Caenorhabditis elegans: one gene and its partners. The protein of the gene in region 1 purifies or fractionates together with the protein of each later gene. This does not show direct contact. Each region holds a gene or a part of one and is shown in the gene's direction. Other genes may lie near its edges.

Region 1 (7,264 bases):
TAGAGATTTCTTCCTTACATTTAAATTGATTTTTACTTTTTTTTCCCAATTGTTTTGCATTTAATATATTCGATTTGTGTTTGCATATCAGACACAATAAATGCTGAACATAAAGAAAATGAAAAAATCAAAGAAAATAATCAATATCTCTACAGTAATCTTAAATGCGCGCACGCAAAATGTTTCAACTTGATTCGATTCCGAGACCATTATGCACTAATGCGCTCTCCTTTAAACACAGGAAAGTGTAAAATAAAATACGTTGAGCATATTCGAACTGATTTCTAAGTGGAAAAATAGTTTCGTAACTTCAGGGTTACTCATCGGAGACCAGAAACAACGACATTATGCTAATTCCGAAAAATGCCCTTCAAACTGTAGAATGTTCTTTGGCTAATTTTTGAGTCATAATTTTACGAGATTTATAAGTTTTCAGGTGTATGGTTTTTTTTTTTAATTTATTCGCTGTTTTTCGACAAGGTGATCTGAAAATTGAAAAAAAAAAGAAAACGAAAAGAGGGAAAATGTGGGCACTTGCCGAGAATCTCCTCATCTCTCTCACTTCTTCCGCCGCGGCGGGTCGCTCACAACAAACAGCGAGTCAGGGACATAAGAAAGAGATTAGAGACGCAGACGTCACTATTTCGCTTTGACCCCTCCGTTATTTAACTGTCATTGTTTAACAGGTAATGAGAAAAGTGTTTATGAAGGTGAAAAATTGTTGGCAAAGTATTTGACAAAAATATACATCATACGGTTTTAATAAATTATGAATGATTTTTAAACCCTTTTGATTGAAAAGTAACTAGTTGAGCATTGTATGATCTTCGAAGATATTCCTTCGTTGCTCCTCGACCTTCTTCATCCAACGATTCTGTTCGGCCTCGACGCGTCCGAGAACATCTGAAGAAAATACTTTTTTAGTAAAAACTATAAAATCTTCAAATGGAGCACTTACTACTTCTCGCACGTGTGGTTCCTTGTGTATCCATTGAATTACTTGCTGAAGATGATTCATCGTCAGTTGATGGAGCAGCAGCAAAGATATTATCCTCCATTTCATCATTATGTTGTTGATAACTGATCGATAATCGTTTCTTCCGGAGCATTGGATCCAGGCACATAAGGAATACCATGTATCCCGTTAAAACAGCGATCACACAGATTACAAATATTACAACTACTTTTAAGAGCACAGTGTTTCGTGACTCATAACGGCAGTCGCAATTTGCAAGAAATGCATCCATATGGGTCTCGTCAACGAAGTTACTGACTTGATCTTTCACAATGTTGCTTGGCTTGCTGAAATGTTTGAAAAATTATATTTCTTTGTCGAATTTAAGGTTTATTTGTGTAAATGATGAATTTGAGCTGTTGAAAAAAATTAAAAAAATAAGTGTTGAAAATGTTTTAAAACTGATCAACATGTTTTTTTGATGAAATGGAAGGAAAATAAAGACTTAGAAATTCGAGATTTCATGGTTATGATTTATTTTTATTCGAATTTTTACAACGATGTAGATTCTCAGCAATAGAAAATAAAAATAATTGTTTTTCTAAATCATATTTGTGGTTTTCTGAAAGAGAAAAAATTAAAACTGTGACTAAAGTTCCCACAAAAATTTCTCAAATTTTAACGTTTATAAAACAGTCGGAAACGTTCAAATTTCGATGAAAAAAAGAAATTCAAATTTGCAATTGCTTTGAGCGAAATAATACCATAAAGGTGGGAGAATTTCATAACTCTGCCAAGTTATTTTTGATGTGGATTTTTAGCAAAAAATATCAGAGTGACTAGGAGATATTTACATATTCGGATTTGATATTTTATATTTTCTATTAAAACAATTCAGATTTAAAATTAAAAAAACTCACCAATGGCTCGGTTCGATGTTAGTTTTTGTATAAAATCGTCTCCTCAATCCTTCTGTTTTTTCAGTTGTATTTTCAGCCAAGTCGAGAAATTTTAAAAGACTCGGACAAATGCATCGACATCGTGTATCTTCGAAGTTAGCCTGAAAATATTTATTAAATTATATCTTTATAAAAGTAGTTATGAAACAAACCTCAGTCCCTGCTTGGGATAATGCGGGAAGAAACAGTAAAGCAATAAATAAATATATCATTAAATCTGAAAAAATTACGGAAGTTGGACTGTATTTTTTTTTATTTTTGCAAGAAAATAAAAAATGCTCTGAAAAATAGAATACAAGTAAAACAAGAAGTGCGCCAGTGCAACTTACTGGCGCTTTTCGCGATGGCTGACGCATTCTTCGTTTCACTTTTATGATGTTCACAACGAAAATCGAAGAAATAAAAACTTGCACTTATTTTTGTCTTAAATTTCAATTTTTCTTCTGCTTGTTGAGTAATTTTTCAGTTCTCAGTCTAAATTACTTGCTAATTATCTTCATTTCAGTCTGCATGAATACTAATAATCGATTTTTCGCATTTTTTTTGCAATTTCTATCCGGTATTTGTCTTTTTTAATTCATTCGTTACTATTTTCAGTCATGTCAAAAGGTTTTGCTTTCAAACCGTCTGCTTTAGCTGCCAAGGCAGATAAACTGTGGTCAGATAGTAAGTTTTCAATTTTGTGTTATGTTATCTAAGTCACGTGAATTTGCAGGCAAAACAGAATACACAGCAACTCATTCAACAATCAACCACGTTCATTTGGAAAAGAAATCGCTGGGCGATATTATTCCGAAATCAGCAGATGCGCCTGTTGCAAATGAAAAAGTTCGTTGAAACACAATGAGTCAAAAAATTCGTTTTCTTCTAATTATAGGAAGTCGAAGAGGCTCCACAAGCATTTGTTTTTGGCTCCAAAATATCAGATCGTGTTGTGAACAAAGAAGGTGATTCAACAAAGCCGGGTGGTTCAGACGAAAAGACCATGACAGCAACTGAGCTCTTCCAAAATGCAGTTAAAAAAGATGACGATGTAATCTATATTTCGAATCAATATTTCTATTCATAATGTTAATTTCAGAAAAATGGAGCCAAAAACTTCAGAAAGGAAGCTGAACAAGAAGCGGAGAGAGCAAAGGAAGCCGAAAAGCAGCATGCCGGAACGAGTTCAGTCGAAATCACCACCGGGGAAGAGAACGATACTAATATTTTCCAAGTGAGGCAGTATTCATTAAAACATAATTTTTATTTATTTGTCTTTAGGCTCCTTGCAAAATTTGGGCGTTTGATAAATTGAAAAATGCCTACTCTGAAAAGGGTGTCTGCAATCTCAGGATCAACAAACGAGTCGAGAACGGACTGACGCACCACCGAATTGGTAAATACTGATAGTTAGAGTTTATTGTATTCAAAATTATTTTCAGTGGCAAGAACATCTTCCGGTACTCTTCGTGTCATCATAAATTCCAAAATTTTCTCTGATATGCTTTTGGAGCGGGTCGACAAGAGAATTCGAGTGAGCTTTAATGTTATATGAATATATGTTTTATTGTTACTGTTTACAGATTTCCGCAATGGGACCAGAGATCAGCGGTGTTCAGATTTTCCTTCTAAAAATCGGATTCACCAAAACTGAGACGATCCCCGATTCGGATATATTCTACAATATTATGAGCGACCTGCTGAAATTGGAGAAGGGAGAGAATAGTCGGAAGAGGAAAGCGGATTGTGATCTGAACGCTTCAACTGTTAAAATCAAGGATGGAAAGGAAGAAGAAGAAGGTGATCAAGATCAAGTTGATGAAGGATTTGTCATTGTAAACAAGCCAACAGAAGATGAGGTGAAAGAAGAAAAACCAGCTGTTACAGCTGCCGAAGAATCTGCATCCAGCTCAACTCCTTCCGAATAACCATATCAGTCATTGCTTCTTTCAACTTCCCCTGTGCTCTTTTTTCTCCTTCCAATCCCCACAAAAATGGTCTCCAACTTTCACCCAACTCAAATCATTTCCCCTTAAGTCTAATTTCTTTATTGCTAAAAATTTCTTCTAGATTTCTACCAATCTGGCCTAACTTTCCAATTTCGTTTTATTCTTATATATCCCGTTTTATGTGTTTGTCGAATATATTTGGTTTGTGAAAAAGAGAAGAGTTTGCAATAAAAAGCAGAAATACAATCAAGAAGACACTTAGACAATGGCGTTTCGGTTATCAGTGGCGCTCTTACTGAAGGAGGAGGAGAGCGAGATAACGATCGTTGTGGGGTGATCGATTCAGAATTCAATTGGCAACACCATGATCATTTATCACCTTGTCAATTCTGTAGCATTGTTTCAGTAGGAGAAGATTTTTTTGTAGTTAAATATCAATTTTGAGTATAACAAACGCGATTTTTGCACCTAAAATACGGTAGCCGGTCTCGTCACGACAATTTTTAATACTTAAAAAAAAATTGTATCAATTTATTTATAAACTCTAAAATAACACCGAAACACTTCAATTTTTATAAATCTAGAGGAAAAATCGATTCCGCATCAATGAGAGTTTGAAGTTACAGTACTCCTTAAAGGTGCACACACCTTCTTGCATTTAATAAAAAGTTGTCGCGTTGAGACCCGGTACCGGTTTTTTGGCGTCTTTGTAATAAACCCCTTTGAATTTAGTTTTGAAGTTTAAACTTTGAAGTTCAAAGTTTGAAATTATCCCATAATATCTAACCACGCGTCGGGCGTTTAATATCATAAAATCAAAAGTCGAATTTTTTTTATCTTATCAACAATTGGAGTACACGTGTACCCACGATATTTCTCGATTTGTACTATTTTAAATATTTTTTCTCGGAATAAATTCTCTTTGCCTGCCATTTCTACATTCTTGTTTCATTTCATTTTACTACTCGTGAATCTAGAACCTTCACTCATCTCCAAAATGGTTCTCCTTGGACGAGGATTACTTGCCGTCGGGCGTGTTGCTTTTCGACGTCCGATGATTGTACGACACCTTCAATATGATGCTTTTGTTGATAGACATATTGGACCAAGACGATTGGAGCAGCAACAAATGCTCGATTTTATTGGATACAAAGTTCGTGGCTTGATTTTCCATTACTAATGGTATACACAGTTATTACGCAGCTGCAGAAGTTTACGATTTTTTACGCTGACATACGGTCTCGTCACGATCGGAAGTTTTTCTACCGTATCCGCGAGTATTTCGCAATTTTATAATGATCCGAATATTTTCAGGTTTTTGATTGAAAACACGTTAAAATCGAGCAAAACTTTAATTACTTCAGAAAAACTTTGCTAAATACTTTTTGATACGGTAGCTAAAAAGTTTCGACCATGTCGAGACCGGGGACCATATGTCCCGCAAAAATAATTTGCGATGTTGGCATTGTATCTCCTATTTTGTTTAATGCATTTTCTGAAGTTAGAAACGCCTGAGAATTCTGTCTCATAATAACCTTGAAATTACAGGATCTAGATGATCTCACCGGAACCAATGTGCCAAATATGATCAAAGCAGAGAAGGCTCTAGAGCTTCCAGCACCACTTGACGAATACAAGATGCTCAAAGAGTTGGAAGCAATTGCAGCACAGAACAAGATTTATAGATCTTATATTGGAATGGGATATTATGATACAATTGTGCCAGCTGTCATTTCTCGTAATATCCTTCAAAATATTGGATGGATCTCCCAGTATACTCCATACCAAGCAGAAATCTCACAGGGAAGACTTGAGTCTCTTTTAAACTTCCAGACTATGGTAAGGCATGGTTTGATGCCTATGAGTCTAATATATTATGTTTGAAGATTGCTGAAATGACTGGTCTCCCAACAACCAATGCATCTCTTTTGGATGAAGCCACAGCTTCTGCAGAAGCAGTTGCACTGGCTGCTAGAACTACAAAGAGAAACAAAATTGTCGTTGACTCATTCTGTCATCCACAAAATCTTGATGTAATCAGAACTCGTAGTGGACCACTTGGAATAGATATTGAAGTTTCTGATTCAATTGAAGGATATGCGTTTGATGATAAAGTAGCTGCTGTAGTTGTTCAATATCCGAATACTGAAGGAAGAATTCATCAATTCGACGAGTTGATCGAAAGTGCTCACAAGAATAAGTCATTGGTGATAATGGTGTGCGACTTGCTCTCGTTAACGATTCTCCGATCACCAGGAGATCTTGGTGCAGATATTGCTGTTGGATCGGCTCAACGATTTGGAGTTCCATTGGGTTATGGAGGACCACACGCTGGATTTATGGCTGTCGCTAAGCATGATGCGAAGAATGCATTGGGAAGAAATATTCCAGGAAGAATCATTGGAGTTACTAAGTAAGTGGTAACCAATTTCTGGGATCAACCTATCACCAAGACTTCACATTTAAACTTTTCTTTTTTCAGGGATGCAAATGGAAATCGTGCTCTTCGCCTGGCTCTTCAAACCCGTGAGCAACACATTCGTCGTGATAAGGCAACCAGTAACATTTGTACTGCTCAAGCTCTTCTTGCTAATATGTCAGCTATGTACGCAGTCTATCATGGTCCACAAAGACTCACTGAAATTGCCAGAGGAGTTCACAAATCAACTGCATATCTTGCTTACCGTAAGTTACTATGTAAGTTACTATATTCATTAAATCTTTAATTTAGATCTTCGAAATGCTGGTCACGAAATTGTACACAAGGACTACTTTGATACTTTGAAAATCCGTCTGAAGGATAAAGCCGCTCTTGAAGAAACGAAAAAGAGAGCCGAGGAAATGAAGATGAACTTCCGTTATTATGAAGATGGAGATATCGGAGTTTCATTGGATGAGACTGTTAAATCTGAAGATCTTATGGATATCATCTACACATTGAATGGAGCCACAGAAAAGGATGTGGTTAGTTTTTGACTCGAGATGTAGAAGAAAGACTATCACATTTATATGTTTAGACCAAGCTTCGTGAAGAACGTTGGGAAGTTGCATGCCCATTAATTGGAAACTCACCACATTCTAGATCATCACTATTCCTTCAACATCCGGTATTTAATACTCATCAGAGTGAACAACAGCTTGTTCGATATATGAAACGATTGGAAAATAAGGATGTTTCTCTTGTTCATTCGATGATTCCTCTTGGCAGCTGTACCATGAAGCTTAACGCATCTGCTGAACTTATTGTTTGTTACTTTACATGTTGGCCTTGAAATTTATAACTATCATTAAGCCTATCACCTGGCCAACTCTATCATCTATTCATCCATTTGCTCCTGTAGAGCAGGCCAAGGGATATAGTCGTATCTTTGGAGATCTTGAGAAGTGGCTTTGTGAAATCACTGGATACGATAACTTCA
Region 2 (7,995 bases), on another chromosome or scaffold:
TGTTTGATTTTCACTCGAAAATTCATCGTTTTTCAAAAAATTCGAAAATCCTAAAAAATTCAGATTTTCCCAGTTTTTCGCGAACATAAATGCAAAATTCTCTGAAAAATCACATTTTCACCAAGTTTTGTCTCAAAAATATCGAAATTTACAAGTTTTTTTAACTAGAAAAATGTCTGAAAATGTCATTTTTAAACATTATTCCTCCCATTGTTAATTTATTTTTTCTTGTTAATCATTTTCCTAAAAATGTTCGGTTTTTTACCACTCATTCCCCCCGTTTTTATGTGTAAACTTTGGTGTTTTTTTTTTAAAATAATTTTACCCCCAATTTTCCAGAAAAAGTCTCAAAAATTGAGATTTTCATATAAAAATCCGGTTTTTCCCGCAAATTTGCCCCCTAAAAATGCAATTTTCCTGGTTTTTGCTTCTTTAAAATCATTATCCTGCTGTGTTTTTTGTCTTTTTCGTTTTTGTGGTATTAAATTTGAATTTCTGGTGTTATTTTTTATTGAATTTGATCTTTTTTTTGGTTAATTTTACCCTATTTTATCTCATTTTTCTCTAGGGTTTCGAATATTGATCTTAAATCAAAATCACCAATTTTTGGCGGATTTCTTGTTTTTTTTTGTTGAGAAATTGAATTTTATTTGAAATTTTCAGGCTTTTCTAATATAAAATTCCCGAAATTTTCAGAGAAAAACCTCAAAAAATTTACTAAACCTTTCGTAATTTTCAGAAAAAAAGTTCACAAAAAATTTTGAAAATTTTCTGGAAATTTCAGATTTATCTCAAAAATTCACAAAAAAATATGAATATGAAATAATTTCTTAAAAATTGGAAATAAATTACAATTTCGTTGAAAATTGCCATGATTTCAGTAAAATTTCAGGCTAATTCACAAAAAATTCGAATTCTGTAAATTTCAACCTAGAAATTCAAACAAAAAAAACTCAGAATAATTTCAGAAAATTCCAGATAATCTGAGAAATTGCCATGTAAAATTGCCGAAAATTGTAGAAAAAAATCGCAAAAAATTGGCAAAAATTTCGGAAAAATCTTTTAAAAAAACCTTGAATATTTCAAGAAAAAATCGCAAAAATCTGAAAAAATTGGCAAAAATTTCGGAAAAATATTCTGAAAAATTCCAAAAACCCTCGAATATTTTACGAAAAAAATTCTTAAAAAATCCGGAAAATTCCCGCAATTTTCAGAATAATCTTTTTTTTTCGGAAACCGCAGAAAATTCTTTAAAAAAAGCTCAAAATTTCTGAAAAATCTTTTTTAAAAAACCTTGAATATTTCACAAAAAAAATCGCAAAAAATCTGAAAAAATTGGCAAAAAAATCCAAACCAAATTTTTGCAGAAGGAAAAATAATGAAAAAGTGAATTGATATTTTTGGGAATTATTAAAAAACCTGAAAATTTTCCAAAAAACGCTATTTAAAATTGCCGAAAATTTCAGAAATGTTTTTTTGAAAAATTCAAAAACTCGAAAAATTGGCAAAAAAAGGGAAAAAAATTTATAAACTTCTCGAACATTTCTGAAAAGTCTAAAAAAATCCCCAAAAAATTTGAAAAATTGTGAAAATTTCAAAAAAATCTGAAAATTTCCAGAAAATTCACGAAAACAATCTGAAAATTTTTCGACATTTTTAGAATAAACTAGAACCGCCCAAAAATTCGAAAACAATTTTTTAATAATTCTAAATAATCTCAAACCAAACAAAAAAAATCTGAAAAATTTTCGAAATCTTTTTGAAAATTAAAAAAAAAATCCCAAAAATTCTGTAAATTCCCTGAGAAATTTCCGAAATTTTTTTTGTAAAAATTGTCCTGTAAAATTCTCGAAAATTTCTGAAAAATCAAAAAATAAACTTTGAATATTTCACAAAAAAAATTCCCGAAAATTGGCAAAAATTTCTGAAAAATATTCGAAAAAATGCAGTAAAATGCTCGAAAGTTCCAATTATTTCTAAAAATATTTTTGCAGAAGGAATTACAATTTCCTTTTAAAAAAAAGAAACAGAAAAATTCTTTTAAAAATCTGAAAAAAAACGAAAATTTCTGAAAAAAAAATCCAAAAACCCTCGAGTATTTCACGAAAAATATCCCAAAAATTCGAACAAAAATCAGTAAAATTCCCGCAATTTTCAGAATAATCTTTTTTTTCAGAAACTACAGAAAATTCTTTTAAAAAAAGCTCAAAATTTCTGAAAAATCTTTTTTAAAAAACCTTGAATATTTCACAAAAAAAATCGCAAAAAATCTGTAAAAATTGGCTAAAATTTCATTAAAATATTCTGAAAAAATCCATAAAAACCTCGAATATTTTACGAAAAAAAATCCTTAAAATCTGAAAAATTGGAGAACACTTCAAAAAAAAATTCAAAAAATTGGCAAAAAATAGAAATTTTTGTGAAGGAATGGTTTCAACAGGAATTTAAAAATTGTTTTTCAGAGTCTTTTTTTCAAAAATTTCTTTTTTTTTCCTATAGTGAAATATTCAAAGTTTATTTTTTGATTTTTCAGAAATTTTCGAGAATTTTATAGATTTTTTTCTGAAATTTAATATTTTTTCGACAATTTTCTGGGGGTTCTTTTTGAAAAGATTTTACAATTTTTTGCCAACTTTTTGAGTTTTTGGATTTTTTCAGAATTTTTTTTCTGAAATTTCCGGCAATTTTACAGGACAATTTTTACAAAAAAAATTTCGGAAATTTCTCAGGGAATTTACAGAATTTTTGGGATTTTTTTCCAAAATTTATTCTCAATAGAAATTACTAACAAAACCCGAAAATTTGCAATTTTTCTCAAAATTTCAGGGTTCAACGTTCGCCGCTAGAAAAAAACGCGCCAAAAACGATGGTTCACAGTAGCCGCCGCAAGTTCAAGAGCAAGAATAAGGGCCATGAGCCGAGAGAAAATGTTTGGCGTGACGATCGTGATGCTCCAGGCAATCAGGGATATCGTATGGTGGAGAAGGAGAATGAAAAGTATTGGCAATATTATAAGGAGCAGAATGTCTTTCCATTGGAGCAATTTGACGAGTTTCGGGCGGCTCTTCAACGAGATTTGCCTGTTTCTTTCAGATTTCAGGGTTGTCATAAGTTCGTTTTTTTTGAAAATTGATTGGATGGACAAAAAATGTGTGAAAAAATTAATTTTCCACGGATTTTCAGTTAAAATTATGAATTTCAACGTAAAATTCACAAAATTTGGCCTAAAACGCTCCAATTTTGTGATTCTTTTTTTGCTCAAAAACAATTAGAAAAAAATTGATTTCCCACGAATTTTCAGAGAAAGAACTGAAAAATTTTCCAGACATTCTGATTTTTTTCAATTTTTTTGCTAAAAAAGTTCAAAAAATTTTTTACCGACATTGAATTGATGAAAAATTCAATTTTTTGCAAAAAAAAATGGACATTCTCGCTGAAATTTAATTAAAAATTTGAAAATTGACAAAAAATTCTAAATTTCTAAAAAAAATTACCGGAAAATTTGAAAAATTTTTGGAAAATTAACAAAAAAAAAATAAAATTTTTGCAAATTTCGCAGAAACTGCAAAAAATTCTAAATTTTCCCGGAAATTATCAGAAAATTTCAAATATTAGTGAAAAATTTGACGAAAATTATGAAATTATTAACGGAAATTTCGAAATTTTGCAGAAAGCTGATAAAAATTCAGATTTTTGTATAAACTCAACGAAAAATTCCAAATTTTTGCGGAAATTTAATTGAAAATTCAGAAAAAAACATATAAAGAGCAGAATGTCTTTCCATTGGAGCAATTTGCCTGTTTCTTTTAGATTTCAGGGTTGTCATAAGTTCGTTTTTTGAAAATTGATTGGATGGACAAAAAATCTGTGAAAAAATTAATTTTCCACGAATTTTCAGTTAAAATTATGAATTTCAACGTAAAATTCAAAAAATTTGGCCTAAAACGCTCCAATTTTGTGATTCTTTTTTTGCTCAAAAACAATTAGAAAAAAAATTGATTTTCGACGAATTTTTTGGAGGAAAAACTGAATTTTTAAGGTTTTTTAGCTCAAAATTTGGATATTTAAAAACCCAAAATTTGGATATTTTTGATTTAAACAAATTAAAATTCCATCTTTTCCTCTAAACATTTGGGGAAAACTGTAAAAAATCTGATTTTCCAAGGGTTTTAGTAAAAATTTTGCGAATAAACTGTTAGAAAATTCAAAATTTCAGTGGAAAAGTCAACGAAAATTTTAAAAAATTTCACAGAAAACTGTTGGAAAACTTAAAATTTAACGAAAAATCCAAAAACAAGATCTACCAAAAGAAGATCTACGTTTTCAGGATCTGGCACCGTGCCAACTGCGGTTTTCTCGATGAAAAACGTAACAACGATGCTCCGATGTTACGCGTCGCGTGTTGTTAAGCGTTTCTTCTAGAAGAAAATTTCAAAAAATATCTTTCTGAACGCTAAACAACACGCGACGCGTAACATCGGAGCATCGTTGTTACGTTTTTCATCGAGAAAACCGCAGTTGGCACGGTGCCAGATCCTGAAAACGTAGATCTTCTTTTCGTAGATCTCCTTCTCGTAGATCTTGTTTTCGTAGATCTTGTTTTTGAACAGATCTTCAAAACGTGGTGCCTCGAAAAATTAAAAAAATTTTGCAGAAAATTGACGAAAAATTCAAAATTTTAGAGGAAAATCAAAAAAAATCATTGAATTTTTCTGCCGAAATTTAATGAAAAATTCGAAATTTTTGAACACTATTTAACAAAAAATTCAAAAATTTTGCAAAGAAAAATAACGAAAAAATGTTAAAAATTTAGTAGAAAACTGACGAAATATTAACAATGTTTGCTGAAATTAAACTGAAAATTACAAAAATTTGCAGAAAACTAACGAAAAAAAAATGTTTGGTGAAAAATCAACGAGAATTCCAAATTTTTCCAAAAAATTAGCGAAAAATTTTAATATCATGCAGAAAACTGATGAAAAATTGAAAATTTTAGTGGAAAACTGACGGGAAATTCAGTGTTTTTTTGCCGAAATTTAACGAAAAAATTTAACAAAATTCAAAAATTTTGCAAAAAACTGATGGACAATTCAATTTTTTAGTGGTAAATTAACGAAAAAGTTTGAAAAATCTTGCAGAAAACTGACCAAATATAAAAAATTTTCGCTGAAATTTAATAAAAAATTTAAAAAATCAAAAGAAAATTGTCGAAAATTCAAAATGGTTCCTAAAAATTAACGAAAAATTCAATTTTTTCAAAAAAAAATTCTGAAAAAATCCAAAAAATCCTGAAAGCTCTGAAAAATAGGCAAAAATTTCATTTAAAAATTCCCCCAAAAAAATCTCAAAAATTCCGAAATTTTTGATGAAATTTTCAACTGAAAATTCAACAAAAAAAAACTTGTTTACAGAGACCGCGAGCAGCTGATCCATGAGATGGAAAATCGATTTTTCGGGAAAATCATGGAAGCCGGAGACACTGCTGTATGTGTTCCAAAAAGTCTTCCATGGTACAAAGAAGCCTATCAAACGCCAATGTCACGTACCGCTGTCCGAAGTCATCCGATCCTTGCACAACTTCACAATTTCCTTGTCACAGAGGCTGAACTCGGAAATTTGTCCCGACAGGAGGCGGTTTCAATGATTCCACCACTTCTTTTGGCTCCAACTTCTGAGCATTTTGTGCTTGATTTGTGTGCGGCTCCGGGAAGCAAGACCACACAACTTTTGGAAATGATTCATGAGAACGAGGAGAATCCGAGTACGAAAATCGCCGAAAAAATTCCAAAAAAAATTAGTGATTTTCAGAATAATCGAAAAAAAATTCTTGAAAATTTCTGAAAATTCGAAAAAAAAAATTTCGAAAAAAAATCAATAAAATTCTCGTAATTTTCATAAAAATCGGAAACCGCATTCCCGAAAATTAAAAAAAAAAGTACAAATCAACGAAATTTTTTCCAAAAAGTTTCAGAAAATCGCAAAAAAATTCATAAAATTTTCGAAAATTTCTGAAAAATTAGTGAAAATTTAAATTTCATTAAAAAAAAATCTTTAAAATTCCAGAAAATTCACGAAGACAATTTTTTAAAAATAATTCTAAACAATCTCACAAGACCAAACAGACCAAACAAAAAAATTAAAAAAAAGAAAATTTTTGAAAAAAATCCTAAAAACTAAAAAACATTTTGTAAATATGCCGAAAAGTTCATTTAAAAAATTCGAAAAAAAAATCCAAAACCCCTCGAATATTTCAGAAAATAATTCGAAAAAAAGCTCAAAAAATTGGCAAAAATATAGGCAAAGTTTCAAAGAAAAAATCAGTAAAATTCTCAAAATATTACACAAAAAAAGTCCCCAAAAACTCAAAAAAAATTGGCACACATTTTCATTAAAAATCCAAAAAAAAAAATCTAAAAACCCTCGAATATTTAACGAAAAATATCCTAAAAATTCGAAAAAATCAGTAAAATCTCTAATTTTCAGAATAATCTTTTTTTCAAAAAACCACAGAAAATTCTCGAGAAAAAGCTGAAAATTTCAAAAAATCAGCCAATTTTTTGCAAAGAAACGGAAAAAATCCAAAAAACTCATGGAAAATTCGAAAATAAAATCTCAAAAATGTTAGAAAAATCTCTACACATTTTTCGAAAATTTCTGAAATTTTTTTTAAAAACTCCCGAGAATTGCAAAAATTCCCAAAAAAAATCTAAAAAATTCCAGAAAACACGAAAAAATTTGAAAATGTTTTGAAATTTTCAGAATAATCTAAAACCGCTGAAAATTCTGAAACTATTTTTTTTTTAATTGAAAAAAAAATAAATTAAGTTTCACAAGACATTTTGAAAATTTTGGAAAAAATCCCAAAAATTCTGTAAATTTCAACTTAAAAATTAGAAAACAAGCTCAGAATATTTTCAAAAAATTCCAGAAATAATCTTATAAATTTTTCGAAAAATGTCTTGTAAAATTGCCAAAAATTTCTGAAAATAATTCTGAAAAATCCCAAAAATTGGCAAAATTTCTGAAAAATCTTTTAAAAAACCTTGAATATTTCACCAAAAATTCCCAAAACTCTACAAATTTGCAAAAATTTCAAAAAAAAAATTCAAAAACCCTCGAATTTGCAAAAATTTCACGAAAAAAAATTCCAAAAAATTCGAAAAAATCAGTAAAATTCCCGCAATTTTCAGAATAATCACTAAACAAAAACCACAGAAAATTCCTTTATAAAAAAAACTCAAACTTTCAAAATTTCTGAAAAATCATTTAAAAAAACCTTGAATATTTCAGAGAAAATATGCCAAAAATTTGAAAAAATCTTGCAATTTTCAGAATAATCTTTTTTTTTTCAAAAAAGAACCACAGAAAGTACCAAAAAAAAAACTGAAAATTTCAAAAAATCACACTGCAACTTTTTTCGAACGAGGGACGAGGCAAAAAGGTTTCTAGGCCATGGCCGAGGGGCCGACAAGTTTCAGCGGCCATTTATACTGCTTTGTTTTCCGCCTGTTTTCTTTCGTTTTTCACAGTTTTTTCCCGTTTTTTCTTATTAAAACTGATGAATAAATACTTTTTGCAGATGCTAAAACAATTTCCAAGTAAAAAAATTATGTATTCAGTGGGCAAGCAGCGGTGAAAGTGGTCAATGCAATATGATGGATTACGGGAATACAAAACCTAAACTTTTTCTTAAACATGATACATATGCTGCTCTGATGCTGAAGCTACCTGATTTTCATAACGAGACCGCTGAAAAAGTTTTGAGGTTTCCAAAATTCAACTTTTTTGGTGGAAAAGTAGAGATTTTCGCACAAAGAGTTGAATTTTGAAAATCTCAAAACTTTTTCAGCGGTCTCGTTATGAAAATCAGGTAATTTCAGCATCTAAGCATCATATGTATCATGTTTCAGAAAAAGTTTAGGTTTTGTATTACCGTAATCCATCATTTTACATTGACCACTTTCACCGCTACTTACAGACTGAATACATATTTTT
Region 3 (7,363 bases), on another chromosome or scaffold:
TCACTTCTTTGCAGTTTTACTTGAATTTCATATTTCCAATGTAGTTTTGAAACAAAATATGACACTTACAATTTTAAAAATCGTAAATAGTAAAATCTAAGAAAATTTCGGAATGGGTTACTGTACTTCTAAAAAAAACGTACATAATTTTTTGCGGGGCATTTCAAAAACCGGTAGAATAAATTAATATATTTCAGAAACATTTCGAAAAGCACGGGAAGGTTATGCTGATGGACTATCTGGAGCAGGAAACTCTAAAAAAGGAACGAATAATCATGAGAAATGAGCACTGGACTTGGCTCGTACCGTACTGGGCATTCTGGCCGTATGAGACAATGCTTCTACCAAATCGACACGTGGAACGATTCACTGATTTGGGAGAGGTTCGTAAATTTGAAATTATAATTTAAAAATGGCAAAAATTCCGCTATTCCAGGTTGAAAAGCAATCACTCTCTGAAATTCTTCGTTCTCTACTCATCAAGTACGACAATGTCTTTGAATGCTCATTTCCCTACATGATGGGATGGTCTGGAGCCCCAACTGGCTCTTTTCTGACTGAAAATTGCTCATTTTGGCAGCTCCACTTGTCATTCTTCCCGCCACTTCTTCGTTCGGCGACTGTTCCGAAATTCCTTGCTGGATATGAAGTTTTTGCTGAAAAACAACGGGATCTTTCGCCGGAGATTGCTGCAAAAACGCTGAGCGAGATCGATGAAGAGCATTATTCAAAGAAATTGCAATAAATTTATTAACAACTTTAGTTAACAAGAACAAAACAATCGAATAAACATTTGAAAAAAAACAATTAACTCTCTCTAATAAACCTGGCTTGCACAAAAATCCGCGGAGCTTTCAGGCCTTTTTGATGATTAACCGTCATTCTATGTAGATACTCCTTCCGAACACATCGAAATCCAGATTTTTCAAAAACCTCCGAAAGCTCATTCAAATCAAAATAATAAGCTCTGGTGCCGTCTTGTCGAACATAAAATCGATCGGAAATTCTTGCTTCCCGGCCGAAACGAATCATAGCGTGATCATTGATACCGTAATCCCGGACTACAACAGAGCCTCCAATCTGGAACAAAAATTCCAATTTTATGTTGCTGGAAATTAAAAAAGCACTCACTTTTATCATTTTTCTTACATTTTCCGCTGAAATTTGATGTTTTTCGGGATGAATCGCGGATAGCACAAAAATAAGTGTAGCAAGATCAACTTGCTCTTCGAATGGAGATGAAACTGAAGGAATTGACAAATCCACGACAGATGTTGCTACGGAAAGCTGAAAATTTAATTTTAAACGTTTCATATCAGAGTTTTTTGCACATACTTCAAGCTCTTTTGCGCGTTCCTCCAACAATTTCACCGCGTTGTCCGAAAAATCGAATGCAAAAAGTTTCAGATTTGGAATTTCAGCGACTAATGGGAAAAGCATATTGCCGACGCCACATCCAGCTTCCAGATAGGAGATTTCTTTCTTAAATGAAAATTAAAAATTTTTCAGTGCAATTTCAGAATTAAAACCTCGAAATCTATGTCTGGGCACATCATTTTCAGATCTTCTGCACTCCAATTCCGATCCTTGAAGAAATTGTTTTTATTTCGATGATAGAATTTGTCCCAATTTTTTCGAGCGTCAATTTCCAGTTTATTTCGCTTGAAATCGCTTATACTCGTCTGAAAATTCATTTTTAAGCGTTTTTAAAAATACAGTTTTAGTTAAATACCTGTTTTGCCAGCTTTTCATGGTCATCTTCTGTTAATTCCCTTGAACTTTGACTTGAAAGAAAGCCCCCATCATCTGACATGTTTTCTGGAAAATTTTAAGCTTACACTAGTGTGGAAAAAGCAAGGAAAAAAGAAAAAAAAGAGGAAATTATGAAAAAAAAACAAAAAAAAATTAAAGTACAAAATTTCAACGACGCTCCGATCTCCCGCTATGTTTTGCGCGGAAGTTTAAATCACAGTTTCCAATTTAAATCTGAATTCAACAATTAAAAGCGACTAAATAGACATTTTCGTTCAAAATAAATATTTAAGCAAACATTCTTGAGCAATGTTCATAAAATATTGATCTTGTCGCTTCAATGTCCCCTCGAAACAACCCAATTTGCTACAGGCAAACTATAAGTGACTACAAAAGAATAGAACAATAGATCATCATCATCTTTTAATGAATGATATTTTGAACTTGCCTACGTGACAATTTACAATCTCATCGATGAACCCTCAAAGAAAACATTCTTATCATATCACTAATTGTCATCATTTTCATTTCGTCAGCCAGACCATGCCGAGTTCATTTTTGCCTTTGATGACTTGTTGGTCGCTATATAAAAAGAATACATTTTTTAGTATTTGTAACATCCCATAGCTTTTTTTCTTGGTTTCATACTTTTTTAAAACATCTGTGCAGACAGTATTTTCAGCTGCATAGGTGGCCAGGTGGGCTTTTTATTTGTGGCCGCGAAAATGGAAAGCTCGGCCACGAAGCAAATTTAGCTGAAAAATATCCTTCTTTTCAAACCCTATGCTCCTTTTTTCAGATTCAAAATGCCAAAAATTGCAATTGTTCAAGCGGGGACCCCACTATTTGATAAACCAGCAACTCTGGAAAAAGTTAAGAAAAATGTGGAAGAAGCAGCTGGAAATGGAGCTGAACTAGTGCTCTTTCCTGAAGCTTTTATTGGTGGATATCCAAAATGGAACAGCTTTGGAATCACAATGGGCACACGAACTCCAGAAGGAAGGAAAGAGTTTAAAAGGTGGGATGACCAAACTTTGAAATCACATACAACTCGAGTGTCTTTTGTTTTATCACAAAATTGTCAACTGACAAAATATGTGCCATTTCTTTTTCTACATTTTTTTGATGTCTTCACAATCGGCCGAGGCATAACTTTTCTGTTATAGATACTTCGAAAACGCCATCGAAGAGAACGGCGAGGAATCGAAGCTCATCGAATCTCTAGCAGCTCAGAATAATATCCATATTGTAATCGGAGTAGTTGAACGAGAAGCTTCAACCTTATACTGCTCTGTATTCTTTTACTCACCCTCCGGTTACCTTGGAAAGCACCGAAAACTCTTGCCAACTGCTCTAGAAAGATGTGTTTGGGGACAAGGTGATGGTTCAACAATGCCTGTGTTTAGTACAAGTGTTGGAAAAATTGGAAGTGCCATTTGCTGGGAGAATTATATGCCATTATATCGAATGACGCTTTACAGTAAAGGTTAGTAAATTTAATTTAACACCTAAATTCAAGAAATAATTAATTTCAGAAATCCAAATCTATCTAGCTCCAACTGTCGACGATAGAGATGTCTGGCTCTCTACCATGAGGACTATTGCATTAGAAGGAAGGTTAGTAAAGACCCTTGACTTCAAATTGCCTAGCCACATATTTTGAAACCTCTCGATCCAAAATTTTGAGATCTTTGACTCTAAATTTCGAGTCCCTTGGCCCAAATTTTAGAATACTTTATCTCAAACTTGATGGGTCTTCACCTCCAATTTTGGAACCCCAGACCGTTTTCGGCCCCTGACCGTTCAAACTTCGAATTCTCCCAAATATTTTCTTCCAGATGCTTCGTAGTATCTGCATGTCAATTCCTCAAATCCTCCGACTATCCCTTGGATCACCCACTTCGAAAAGAACACGGTGAAGATAAAGTCTTGATTCGCGGTGGATCATGCGCAGTTGATCCACTTGGAACTGTGCTCGTGGAGCCAGATTTCACAAAAGAAACGATTCGCTACACGGAATTCGATCTTTCTGATTTAGCTCTTGGAAAAATGGATTTAGACGTCGTCGGACACTACAGTAGGCCGGATGTATTCCAGTTGAAGGTCAATGAGAATTCACAGAGTACAGTAGTTAAGAAGTGAATTTAATTTCAAAATTTATTGTTCTAGTCTTGGAGGTGTGACTTCAAGGTCCAATGAATTTACAAATAAAACAATTTTTGTGTGAATTTTTTTTGTGTCGATCGCAATAAAAGGGGGAAAGCAGAAAATGATTAAGCGATGACGTGGCAGGGGAAGGAAAAATCGATCGATTCGATGAAGAAGAAGAGGACAAAAGTTGGAGGAAAATTCATTAATAATAACGAGACCAGCTAGCGGTTGAGCTTGTATAGTTGTGTGGGCGATAGCTGTTGAAGTGACGAAGACCACTGTTTCCATAACATGACCAGTACCATGGGGCAGCTCTGTAACGGACTCTATGCATCATTATCTACGTGCAAAAAATACTCACGTGGTTCCGAGATACTTGTTACTGTACATGTAGGAGCTCAAACTTTTCGGGCGGCTGGTGATGTCATAATGTGTTTCATTGGCAAGATAGGAATAGCCGGAGTATCTGAAACAATTTGAAAATTTTAGATACAGGTATAAATGGAATTCTTACCCTCGTCTGGTTGTTATCGGTCGACTTTCAGCGGTCAACTGCGGAGGCGTGTAGCTGGGTGTTAATCCATAATTCCTATCAAATGAATATGGCCGTCTGTAGTCTCCCTCTCGTCCGTACACATATCTGAAATGAAAAATCAAACAATTTTTGCATTTTAATGTGCTCTGTGGTTCTTGCCCAATAAAAAAGAATATCCTAGCTTCTTTTTTTATTTCTTCGATTGACATTTTGACGCCTTGAACTCTAGATGTTACACTAGAAAAGAGAAGATGCAGAACATTTTTTTGAACAGAAAATCTTCTAGAGATGTAAAGTTTGTCAAAAACATTTCGGAACAACAGGAACAGAAAAGCAGCATTTGACCCGCAAAAAAAACCCCAACGACTTACTTATAAATAGGATAACTCCAGGTTCTCAATCCATAAACATCATATTTCCTGAATGGTTCGTTTTCCGATCGATAATGAATGTTTGTGTGATATGGAGCTGTTACGGTTGCCAATGGAGTTCTTGAACGATGCAAATTTCCGTCGTTCACATTGTTGACGGCGGAAATTTCACGAACTGGAGTGTAACTGCGACGGACATGAGAAGCGTATCTCTTCTCATTGTCAACTGGTGTGTTCTCTCTGGACCATCTTGACAGGTATTTTTCCCTGAAAAATAAAGTTTAGTTTTATAACTTCCGCTCTTGATTATTTTACAAAGCAAAAACTTCCACACATATTCAAAAAAATATTTCGAAGAAATTCCAAAACATACCTAGAAATCGAGCTGAGATCGACAGATCTGCTACGGTTGAAGCGATAATTGTTGTATTCTGGCATAGTTTCCAAACTTTCTTCGAGTTCTTCTTCGGTTAGTCTGAAAATTTTTTAAAATTTAATTTGGTCCTCCAGCTTCTCCACTTGTTACTTACCTCTCAACGCACGGCGCTGCTGCAAGTCCTAACGTGTACTTTCTGGCCAACTTCTCCCACGATTGTCCACGGGAGTCGTCAAGAAGCCGTTTTGCAGCGGCTAGTGCGTTTGCTCTGGAAATTCGAAAATTTAGGAGTTTTTAACAATATAGTTAACAATATAAAAATAGAGTTAAAGTTTCGGAAATTAATCACTAAAGTTTTGAGGAAGTTCATACATTTTTGTGAAGCAGTAGCAAGCCTCATATCTCGGCTATTTCAAAATATAGCGAAAATGTTCTAGTTAGAAAATTTAGAAAACAAAGAAAACAAATATTACGTACGTATCAGTATCAGTTGAATATCAGTTGAAACTTTTTTGATAAAGTAAAAGGCAACTGAGATAAAATTTGTTAATATTATGTTCTCGGCCGAAGCTTTTCACGGTCCGTTTTTTGTTAAATGAAAAAAAAATTTCCAAAATTAAGAATAATCAATTTTTAAAATTTTTTAAAGATTTCGTTTTGACCACTACAGTCAATCAGAATGCCGTATACACTCTATTCCCCTCAGGCTGTACAAGTTTTATCAAAAAATTTTCAACTTATAACATAAGTGCCACATATTTTTGTTCCTTAGTTGAACATTTTATGATAAAACCAATGATAACCGAGATATAAGCTGCCGCAGTATAGAAAAGGTAATTCAAGACCCACAGGAAAAATAAAGTATACTTTTGCTTCAGATACTTTTCACAAAAATATAATTTTTAGCTTCAATAAATTATTAAATACCTAGTTGGTTCGGAATGAAACCGATGTCCCGGAGGGTTCTTTTCCTCCGGTAGTAGAGGTAACAACGGACCATCTTCAAATATTGGGTCAAGTTTTACAGACGAAGCAACCATATGTTTTAGATAGTTTTGCGAAGTTATTGATTATCAGTTTATCAGAAGGGAATATATTGATAGCAAGATTTTTTTCGAGTTGGTGACAAAGTAACTTTTGTGATGCAACTGATGGGATAAGAAGGGGGATAAGATGAACGAAAACCTCTACAAATAGAGAATGTCTTTCTCTCTCTTAATCTATTGTTTGAACACAAAAATAGTGGATAAATTGTAGAGTTTTTGGATGCGGGGGGTCATTGTTGGTGAGGTGTACTCTTTTGCAACACAATAATTTCGAATTTGAAAGAAAAAATATGTTGTATCAATTTCGTGTAGGTGGTGGGAGAAATGAGGAAGTTGATGACTGATCAGCTTTGGTATTGAGTAATTTTTCCGATTAACTTTGAAACAAAATATGTAGGATCACAGTTAACCGGGATCACTTTTTGAATGCGAAATTATGATTTGACAAGCTTGAAAAGTAGCAGAAGCTTCAAACAAAGAGTATTGCCTATTTCCTGGAATTTTGAAATTTTCAGCAATGCCGTCAAGGAACAATACATTCCACCCGGTCGAGATGCATTCATGAACAGACTAACGAAGTATTTTTTCCTGCCTTTTTTCAGTTTTACTATTAAAAAATAATTTTAGGCAAGGGTTTATATATTTGAAAACGATGAACTGGTTTTGAAAATCAGAAAATAAGAATCTTTCAAATGTTCCAAATACTTGTTTGGTTCAACTGGCAAATATAGTGATTTCCCTCCCCGATTCATCCAATTTGCCGGTTTATATCTCTGTTGTCTTATGTTTTATAAACAATGTTTTACTATTGAAATATAGAGAAATAATTTTTACCTGTTATGTCATTTGATAGTTCACTGATACAACCAAAAGGAACCGAGAAATAAACTGATAAAATAGAGTAAGGTTGGTGCAATTTGATAAGGTGAGTACGGTATATCAGCTCCTTTTAAAATATAAAAAAATAAATAGCAGTACAACTATCAAAAAATAAATAAAAAATATTTTTTAATTTGACAATTTTTGACAAAAGCAAAGACAATCGAGATGTGTGCTCTGAAAGTTGAGCAAAGTGGTGCAAGATTACTGGGATTGGAAAACCTGCTCAGATGCCAGGTTTTTTTATAATCTG
Region 4 (8,651 bases), on another chromosome or scaffold:
AACCTAAATTTTTGAATTCTCCATAAATGAATTACCCGTTTTCAACAAATTTTGACCTTTTATAAAAATATTTTTGACAATTTTTTCAGCCATCTTGGGCAAAAAAAATTGGGCAAAAATTTGGGCAAAAAATGTTTTTTTTAATGTTCCAAACAACTAGAAATTGAAAAAAGTAAATTTTTAAAGGTTTTGAAGTAATTTTTTGAGTCCTCTTACTACAAAATTAACCATTTTAGAGGAGTTTCAAGATTGTAAATTTTTGCAATAAAGTGCTCATTTTTGCCACTTTTTGATAGTTTTTGATGGGTTAAACCTAGATTTTTTGAATGCAGCATATATGAATTAGCCGTTTTCAACAAATTTAGACAACTTTTTATTTTTGCCCAATTTGTTTTCTGTCCTTTTTTTTGGGCAAAAATTTTTTTTTAATGTTCGAAATCACTAGAAATTGAAAAAGGGCAATTTTTTATGTTTCGGAGTAATTTTTTGAGTCCTCTAACTTCAAAATTAACCATTTTAGAGGAGTTTCAAAATTGTGATTTTTTACAAAAATCGCCCATTTTTGCCACTTTTTAAAATTTTTTGACGGGTTAAACCTAGATTTTCTGAATTCAGCATATATGAATTACCTATTTTCAACAAATTTAGACAACTTTTTATTTTTGCCCAATTTTTTTGTTCCAGTTTTCGCAACAATTTACCAAACCTTAAAATTTGTTATCAAAAGTGATAATTGTTGCGGTTTTCTTTTGATCTCTTATCACTGTTCATATTATTTCCCATACTTTATTATTCTGTTTTTTTTTTAATTTTAAATTTCATATTTCCATGAAAAATCATTCATTATTCAATCTACACCTATCTGAATGTTCGGTCGTTTTCGCAAATATGCCACGTATCGATTGATTTCTCTATTCTACGTGTATGTGATGGCTCTTTACTCATTGCAAGTTGATGATGACCTCGATGATAAGGATAAGGATAATTAATTTCGAAAAAAAAAAGTTTTCTTTTTTTGAATAAAGCTAATTTTTTACTTTTTTATGAATCAGTACTAAAAAAAATCTGGAAAATTATGGCCCAAATCAAGAAATTTCCAAAAATTAACGTCTCCGGAAACTTGTTTCTCTTGTTAGGCTCCGCCCATTTTTTAGGCCAAAATTTGAATAAAAAATTGTCAAAAAAAATTTGCCGCGAAGATCATTATTTATATATTAAAAAATATTATGAATTGATACTGGTATAGGGTTAGTATGGGGATATGGTCAGTGTACTGTAGTAGTACTGTAGGGGTACTGTATGAGTACTGTAGGATTACTGTAGTTTTGGAAAAATTGACTTTTTGTCTTTTGAAGAGATATTGGTTTGAGGTTAGTAGGGGGTATAGCCGGGGTACTGTAGTAGTACTGTAGGGGGTGCTGTAGGAGTACTGTAGTTTAAGAAAAAATTTAGTTTTTTTTTTTCAAATTCAAATTTAATGGGAAAATTTTTTGGTGGGAATTAAAATCTTCTGTGATAAAATTTTGGCTGAAATTCAAATTTTCTGAGAAAAAAAACAACTTTTTTAGAAAAATCTGGAAACTTCTAGAATTTTCTAAAAATTGAATTATAATTTTTCAGACCAAACTGGCGACTAGAGTGGCGACTAGACTGAAAATTTTTCAGAGCGACTTTTTTGCAGCTCAAAGCTGTGCTCCCACTTGGTTTCAGTCCGTCAATACGGTTTGATCTACAAAAAATGCGGGAATTTTTTTGCCCAAAAAAATGTGACGTCACTCTTAACCATGCAAAATCAGTTGAGAACTCTGCGTCTCTTCTCCCGCATTTTTTGTAGATCTACGTAGATCAAACCGAAATGGGACACTCTGCCACTGATTTTTTTTGCACCAGGGGCCTATTTAGAATGGGGTTTTTTTTCAAACGAATTAGGTTTTATTTAGAAGTCTGGAACTTAGTTAAAATATATTTTATTTGGCCCTTGTAAGTTTAAGTTTTTCAGAATTTTCAGAACTTTTTGAAAGAATTTTGGCGCGCGAAACTTGAATGCTGTGGTTTTTCATGCTACGTGGCTGCAAAACTTCTATTGTCGCAGATAGAGTATACAATCAATGTCCTGGATCTATCTCGATTTCATTCGCATGTCTCTCTGCGGCTCTCATCTACCAATACTCTCTCACTTCTATCTGTTCGTTGCGATCTCTGCGCTGCCGTCCTTGACCGCGATATGTCATACAGAAACTGTATTCATTCTCGACTTTCTATTTTTTTTTGTTTTGGAGAATTTATGTTCATCTTAAAATTAATTTGGTTTTTGAACATATTGAGGAAACGGTTTTTTGAAAAATAATTTGCTTTTTTTAAAAATTTTTTTCCCAAAACACATTTTAAAAAATTAATTTTAAAAAATTTCTTTGACAAGCGACACGCGGTTCTGGCTTCCCTCATAAATTGAAATGGAAGAATTTGCCGAACTAGGCCAGGCCATATCCGGGGTAGATTTACGGCGCGTTGCGTGTCGCGTCGCGGCTTGATTTCAGTTGTAAAACTAAATGTATTCGTTCGTGTGGAGTGCACGACTTTCCCAGTCCGGCAGGCAATTGTCAATGGAGCGGGAAAAATTTAATGAGGAAGGCCAGAACCCCGTGAAGCGACACTCCGTTGCTAGGCGTTGCAGATTTTTTGTTAAACCTTCGAAATTTCAGTGAAAAATGACCGTTTTGATTACCGGCGGGATTTCAAAAATATCTACTCAACTTGCGGAGGCGGTGCTAAAAAACGGAAGAAATGTGGTTCTTCTGCACAATAATGAGGCGGTAAGTGGTGGCCTACAAAATTTTCGAAAATTAATTTTTAATTATCGAGTAGTATAGGATTTTCCAGCTGGCCGAGAAATCCTTGTAATGGCCTTAAAAGTTTAACGTTCCTATTCCGGCAATTGGTAATTTCGGCAAATTTGCCCAAATTTGTCCAAATTGCCGGAATTGCCGGAATTGCATTTTTAGGCTCCTAAATCTACAAAAAGTATGAAATTTTTATTTCCGGCAATTCTGGCGATTGCAGGTTCTCAAATTTTTCAGCAATCGGCAATTTTGGCAATTGCCGGTTTTTTGAATTTTCGGCAATTACCGAAATTGCCGAACAGCGAAAATGGTTCCCATTGAAAATGCTAGAGTGGCCTAGAAATTCTCAGGTGGCCGAGAAATTTCATGATGGCCTAATTATTTCAAATTTCTCTTCCAGATTCCAACAAATCTGATCAATAATCCATCGCTCACACTTATCAATTTATCATCAATCAACGAGGAAGCAATCAAAAATCTAATCGAAAATTACAAAATCCAAACAATTTTCGACGCATCTCTCACCACAACTGATGTGCTCTTGGAGCCAATTCAAGGAGCTAAGAAATTGATTCTGGTAAGGTTTTAGTAAACATGCTCTATTGGCAAACATTGGGTGTACTCCACGTGAAAATAGAGAAATTTCGAATTTCGTAAAGTCAGAAATTAAAAAAAAAATCCAGAAAACTCCTGGGAAGTCAGAAATTATCAGAAAATTTGGAATATTTTTTTGAAAAATAAAATAAAAATTCCAGAAGTCCACGTGGTGTCAGGCTGTCCCATCACGGTTTGATCTACAATAAATGCGGGATTTTTCCCCCAAAAATATGTGACGTCAGCACGTTCTAAACCATCTGCGTCTCTTCTCCCGCATTTTTTGTAGATCTACGTAGATCAAGCCAAAATGAGACACTCTGACACCACCTGAAAGTCCGAAATTTCTAGAAAATGTTGAATGCTTTAAAAAAAATCAGAAAATTCCAGAGGTTTCTTTAAAAAAAAGGTTGAGAAAAATTGAAAAATTTATATCTTTTCTAAAATTCTAAAAAAAATACAAAAAAATATTTTAAAAATAAATCAACATTTCCAAAAATCTTTGAACAATTTAGAAAATTCACGAAATTGCAGAAATTTTCAGAAATTTCAAATTTTTTTGAAAAATTTCCGTAAAAGCACGCGCGCTCAGTTGACAAACCCCTAGAATTAAAAAAAAATCAATATTTTTTTCAGGGAATCACGTCAATCCTCGATGCAATCCGTAAATCCGCATCCCCACCATCTCTGGTTCTCATTAGTGGTGACGAGGTGTACGGTAGGGCGAAGAATCGTGTCGAGACCCAACCTCTAGAGCCGGTCACATTCATCGGCTCAGCTCAAATGTCCGTTGAAGCAATGGCTCACAGCTATGCTGTCAGTTATCGTATTCCAATGGTCATCGGAAGGGTATCCGATGATTTATCGATTTCTGACGCGACACGTGGATTATTGGCAATTGAAAAGTTGGCACAAAGCCAAAAACCAGCGGAGGTCTACAATATTTCGGCTTCTTCAGCTGAAAAAATTCAGAAAGAAACGAATTGGAGCCCGTCTGGCTCTGTAAAGGAACAGGGACCCATCGAAGAAGTTTTTAAGCCAATTTTCTTAGTTTTCGGAGCTAATTCGGAACTGAAAACTCAATTTTTGGAGCTGCTAAAGCTGGAGGGACTGGTTTCCAAGGTTTGATCTCAAATTTTTGTATTACGGTAGCCACAAAAAAACACCATACTTTACGACAATTTGCAGAAAATATCTAAAAATTACGTCTTTTGTATTACGGTAGCCTCAAAAAAAAAAACACCATACTTTACGACAATTTGCTGCTCCAGGGGTAAAACTAAGCGGGAAATTCAAAAAAAGTGTCTAAAATTCGTTTCTAAATTTTTAAAACTCTCAAAAAGTCAAAACTTAACTAATTTCCAGGAATCCACAATCACAAATCTGCAAGAAGCCACTGATAAATCGGTTATCGATGAGATTAACACAATCAATCCATCCCATTTGGTTTATTTCGGAAATGAAACCGGTAAGTGACTTGGTGGCTGAAGACAGTGGCCGCAAAAAGTTTTTAGGCCATGAAATTATATTTTTTGGTCGGAAATGCTTTTCTTTTTACGCTAAAAAAATCAAAAATGCCAAAAAACAATTTTTTTTGGACTTAAAATTTGTCTCAAAATTCAATTTCACGAATCACGGGTTCTGGCCTTTCTCATTGAATTTTTCGCGCTCCATTGACAATCGCCCGCCGGAAAACGTGTGGGAAAGTCGTATACTCCACACGGACAAACACATTTAGTTTTACAACTAAAATCAAGCCGCGACGCGACACGAAACGCGCCGTAAATCTACCCCAGATATGGCCGAGCCAAAATGGCCTAGTTCGGCAAAAACTCTTCCATTTCAATTTATGAGGGAAGCCAGTGGCCGCAAAAAGTTTTTAGGCCACGAAAGAATCTTTTTGGTCGAAATTTATGTCAATTTATGCTTTAAAAAAATTCAAAAATGTCAAAAAAAAAATTTTTTTTGGACTTAAAATTTGTCTCAAAATTCAATCAAAGCTTTTTTCGCTAAAATATTTTTTCACCGAGAAAAAAATTCTGGGCCAAAAAAAAGCTTTTTATTTCAAATTCCAGACTCATTCGAAGGCGACTGCTTCACTCTCCGTACCAATATGGCGACTAATCTCTATTTTCCATGGCTTCTCGCAAGTATTGCCGAAAAGTTCTCCCTACACTTCACCCATTTTGGAAATACTTCTATGAGCCAAGAGTCTTCAGCTCTTGCCGTTAAAGGATACACTGGGAAAATGTTGGAATATTTCGAAAAAACGCTCATAATTGGACAGAAAATCGATAAAAACGTGCTGGAATCGATTAAGGCATGCAAGACTGGAGGACTTAATAATAATATTTAATTATTGAATTTTTGCAAATTATTTTTGAACTTAAAGCATTCCTTTTTCTGCGATTTTTTCAATCAATAAATTTTGAAATTAGTGTTGTACTGGCAAATTGGCAAAATGCCGGAATTGAAAATTTCAGGCAAATCGGCAAACCGGCAATTTGCCGAAATTGGAAATTTCTGGCAAATCGGCAACCCCGCAATTTGCCAGAATTGAAAATTTCCGGAAAATCGGCAAATCGGCAAACCAGCAATTTGCCGGAATTTAAAATTTTCAGCAAATCGGCAAACCGGCAATTTGCCGGAATTGAAAATTTCCGGAAAATCGACAAACCGGCAGATTGCCGGAATTTAAAATTTCCGGCAAATCGGCAAACCGGTGAATAGCCGCAATTTGAAATTTCCGGCAAATCGGCAAAACTGGCAAATTGCCGTAATTTAAAATTTCTGGCAAATTACCAGAATTGAAAATTTACGGCAAATTAACGGAATTGAAAATTTCTGCCAAATCGGCAAACCGGCAATTTACCGGAAATGAAAATTTCCGGCAAATCGACAACCCGGCAAATTGCCGAAAATGACAATTTCCGGCAAATCGGCAAACTGGCAATTTGCCGACTTTCCGAATTTGTGGACAAAAAAAATTGCCGAACGGGAATTGCCGGCCCCTGGTGTACTCTACGTTCAAAACAAATTTGTAATTTTTGTTAACATAAAATTTGAAATAAAAATCTTTATGCTTCGTTTTTATGGCGGCCGAGATTTTTATTCTATACGGGTTTTGTTGCAAAATATTGATTTTTATGACTTCGATTTTCATTTAATATTGATTTTTGTCGAAATATCGATTTCCCAAAATATCGATTTTTTAAAAAGCAACTTTTGTAATATATCGATTTTCGGCGCTTTTTAATTGAACATACGGTATTACTAGGGCTTCCATTCCTGCGCCGGCGAGGCGCCTTCGCCGACCAGCGAGACGCCTCAGTCATGTATAGTGCGGCGCGGAACCCCGAACGTGTCGGACGCTTCCAAATAACAGCGGCGATGGCCGGCCGGCGCGAGACGCACCGCCGCTCACCCATGGAAGCCCAAAGTCTTACAAAATATCTACACTGCTTTATTCACAAATTCATAGAAAACCGCGTTCAATTTCTCATCGGTTGCTGTCGTTTGCTGTTGCGCTCTATTGAACACTTCCATATCTCTCAACAATTCCATTTTGGCACGCTCCTCGTCGGCTTTTGTGAAATGGCGCTTCCGACGGAACAAGAGAATGTGCTTCTCCGGGTTATGAACCATGTAGTGCTCCCATCCAAGTGACTGAAAAGTATGAAAAATCAATAATTCGGCCACATTCAGAAATTTAATATTGATTTTTTTTCGTCGATTTTATGACTATCGGTTTTCTTGAAATATCGATTCTATCAACATATTAATGTTTATTTAAAACAAATTTTCATTAAAGGCAAATTGCCGGAATTGAAAATTTCGGGCAAATCGGTAAGCCGGCCAATTGCCGGAATTGAAAATTTCTGGCAAATCGGCAAACCGACACATAGCCGGAATTGAAAATTTCTGGCAAATCAAAAAACCGGCAAATTGCCGAAGTTTAAAATTTCTGGAAATCGGCAAATCGGCAAACTGCCGGAATTGAAAATTTCTGGCAAATTGCCGGAATTGAAAATTTCTGGCAAGTCGGCTAACCGGCAAATTGCCGGAATTGAAAGTTCCTGGCAAATCGGCAAATCGGCACATAGCCGGAATTGAAAATGTCTGGCAAATCGGCAAACCGGCACATAGCCGGAATTGAAAATGTCTGGCAAATCGGCAAACCGGCACATAGCCGGAATTGAAAATGTCTGGCAAATCGGCAAACCGGCACATAGCCGGAATTGAAAATTTCTGGAAAATCGGCAAACCGGCAATTTGCCGAACATGAGAATTTCCGGCAAATCAGCAAACCGGCAATTAAATTATCGGGCCGGCGTAAGGCCCACATTTCGCACCTCACTCGGCTGGGAGCCTTGCTTAATTTAATAAAAAATATTTTAAAATATTGGCTTTTTCAAAATATCAATTTTGTGAATTATCGATTTTTGGAAAAATCTATTTTTTTTAATTATCGATTTTTTTCCTAAAATCTTAACATATCACTTAATTGAAAATATACCTGTTGAACTCCAGCACGTCTCCATTCAGCCTCACTAAGAAGTCTTCCCTTTGGCACTTTTCTCGAGACGGCTTGCGGAAGAATGACGTGGCGATATTCGTATTCATCATCTTCGTAACGTGGCGAATAGTAGATATCTTCCATTTTTCAAAAACTCTTATTCTTCGATGTTAATTGTACGACAAGTAGGGAATGAATGATTGTTGAGGAGTTTTGGAAATGTTGTTGGAACAATTAGGAAGAGGGGGGGGGGCAAGGTTACGTGGACAATTCTTTTTTTTTAAATTCTGAAATGTTGTATTTATTTTACAAATCACGTGGAGTATTCCGAATATCGATGTAAAAAAAATTCAACAAAAAAATCCCTGATTTTATATTTGAGCTTGAAATCGCCGAATTTCATTTGTGCCCCCGCATAATTTTTTCAAATTCGCATTGGAGCGCGCTTGCATCGTTTTATTTACTTCATTTATTTTTCAGTTTTATGAAAGAAAAAAGAATCGCTTCATATGGTTTTTCAGTACTTTTGAATTTTTGAAAAAATAGATTTTAACTAAATTTTGCAATTTTTCAAAATAATCTTCCGGTCAAGCTAGCATACTCTTTTTGATACTTTCTGGTATTTCTGATCATGCTGAACAGTAATATAAAAGAAAAAAGAAGCACTTCATATGATTTTGGCGTACTTTTGAATTTTTGAA

What was found.
Region 2: the proteins of ran-5 (region 1) and nsun-2 fractionate together in Caenorhabditis elegans (co-fractionation; one large-scale study listed by BioGRID). This does not show direct contact.
Region 3: the proteins of ran-5 (region 1) and nit-1 fractionate together in Caenorhabditis elegans (co-fractionation; one large-scale study listed by BioGRID). This does not show direct contact.
Region 4: the proteins of ran-5 (region 1) and rml-5 fractionate together in Caenorhabditis elegans (co-fractionation; one large-scale study listed by BioGRID). This does not show direct contact.

What each region holds. Positions count from the first base shown.
Region 1 is NC_003280.10:6,045,598-6,052,861, forward strand, and holds ran-5 (RanBD1 domain-containing protein), read left to right. Parts: upstream 1-2,511; 5' UTR 2,512-2,513; coding exon 2,514-2,580; intron 2,581-2,629; coding exon 2,630-2,742; intron 2,743-2,791; coding exon 2,792-2,947; intron 2,948-2,995; coding exon 2,996-3,130; intron 3,131-3,177; coding exon 3,178-3,292; intron 3,293-3,338; coding exon 3,339-3,430; intron 3,431-3,479; coding exon 3,480-3,824; 3' UTR 3,825-4,089; downstream 4,090-7,264. Other genes in the region: R12C12.6 (Transmembrane protein 9), read right to left, coding at 806-903, 959-1,302, 1,876-2,015, 2,067-2,270; gldc-1 (Glycine cleavage system P protein), read left to right, coding at 4,843-4,998, 5,394-5,684, 5,732-6,258, 6,328-6,530, 6,577-6,809, 6,863-7,090, 7,138-7,264.
Region 2 is NC_003279.8:1,190,332-1,198,326, forward strand, and holds the start of nsun-2 (tRNA (cytosine(34)-C(5))-methyltransferase), read left to right. Parts: upstream 1-2,826; 5' UTR 2,827-2,866; coding exon 2,867-3,111; intron 3,112-5,411; coding exon 5,412-5,761; intron 5,762-7,995.
Region 3 is NC_003281.10:3,919,894-3,927,256, forward strand, and holds nit-1 (CN hydrolase domain-containing protein), read left to right. Parts: upstream 1-2,313; 5' UTR 2,314-2,333; intron 2,334-2,367; 5' UTR 2,368-2,450; intron 2,451-2,551; 5' UTR 2,552-2,558; coding exon 2,559-2,770; intron 2,771-2,918; coding exon 2,919-3,238; intron 3,239-3,287; coding exon 3,288-3,369; intron 3,370-3,590; coding exon 3,591-3,894; 3' UTR 3,895-3,980; downstream 3,981-7,363. Other genes in the region: ZK1058.3 (putative galactose-1-phosphate uridylyltransferase), read left to right, coding at 198-383, 437-745; metl-6 (tRNA N(3)-methylcytidine methyltransferase), read right to left, coding at 808-1,080, 1,132-1,287, 1,336-1,482, 1,530-1,682, 1,733-1,813; ZK1058.9 (uncharacterized protein), read right to left, coding at 4,106-4,217, 4,265-4,369, 4,418-4,543, 4,810-5,076, 5,183-5,284, 5,340-5,453, 6,113-6,225.
Region 4 is NC_003279.8:1,790,552-1,799,202, forward strand, and holds rml-5 (NAD(P)-binding domain-containing protein), read left to right. Parts: upstream 1-2,702; 5' UTR 2,703-2,708; coding exon 2,709-2,813; intron 2,814-3,240; coding exon 3,241-3,417; intron 3,418-4,070; coding exon 4,071-4,556; intron 4,557-4,799; coding exon 4,800-4,902; intron 4,903-5,509; coding exon 5,510-5,790; 3' UTR 5,791-5,873; downstream 5,874-8,651. Other genes in the region: Y71G12B.27 (Cyclin-dependent kinases regulatory subunit), read right to left, coding at 6,888-7,100, 7,951-8,094.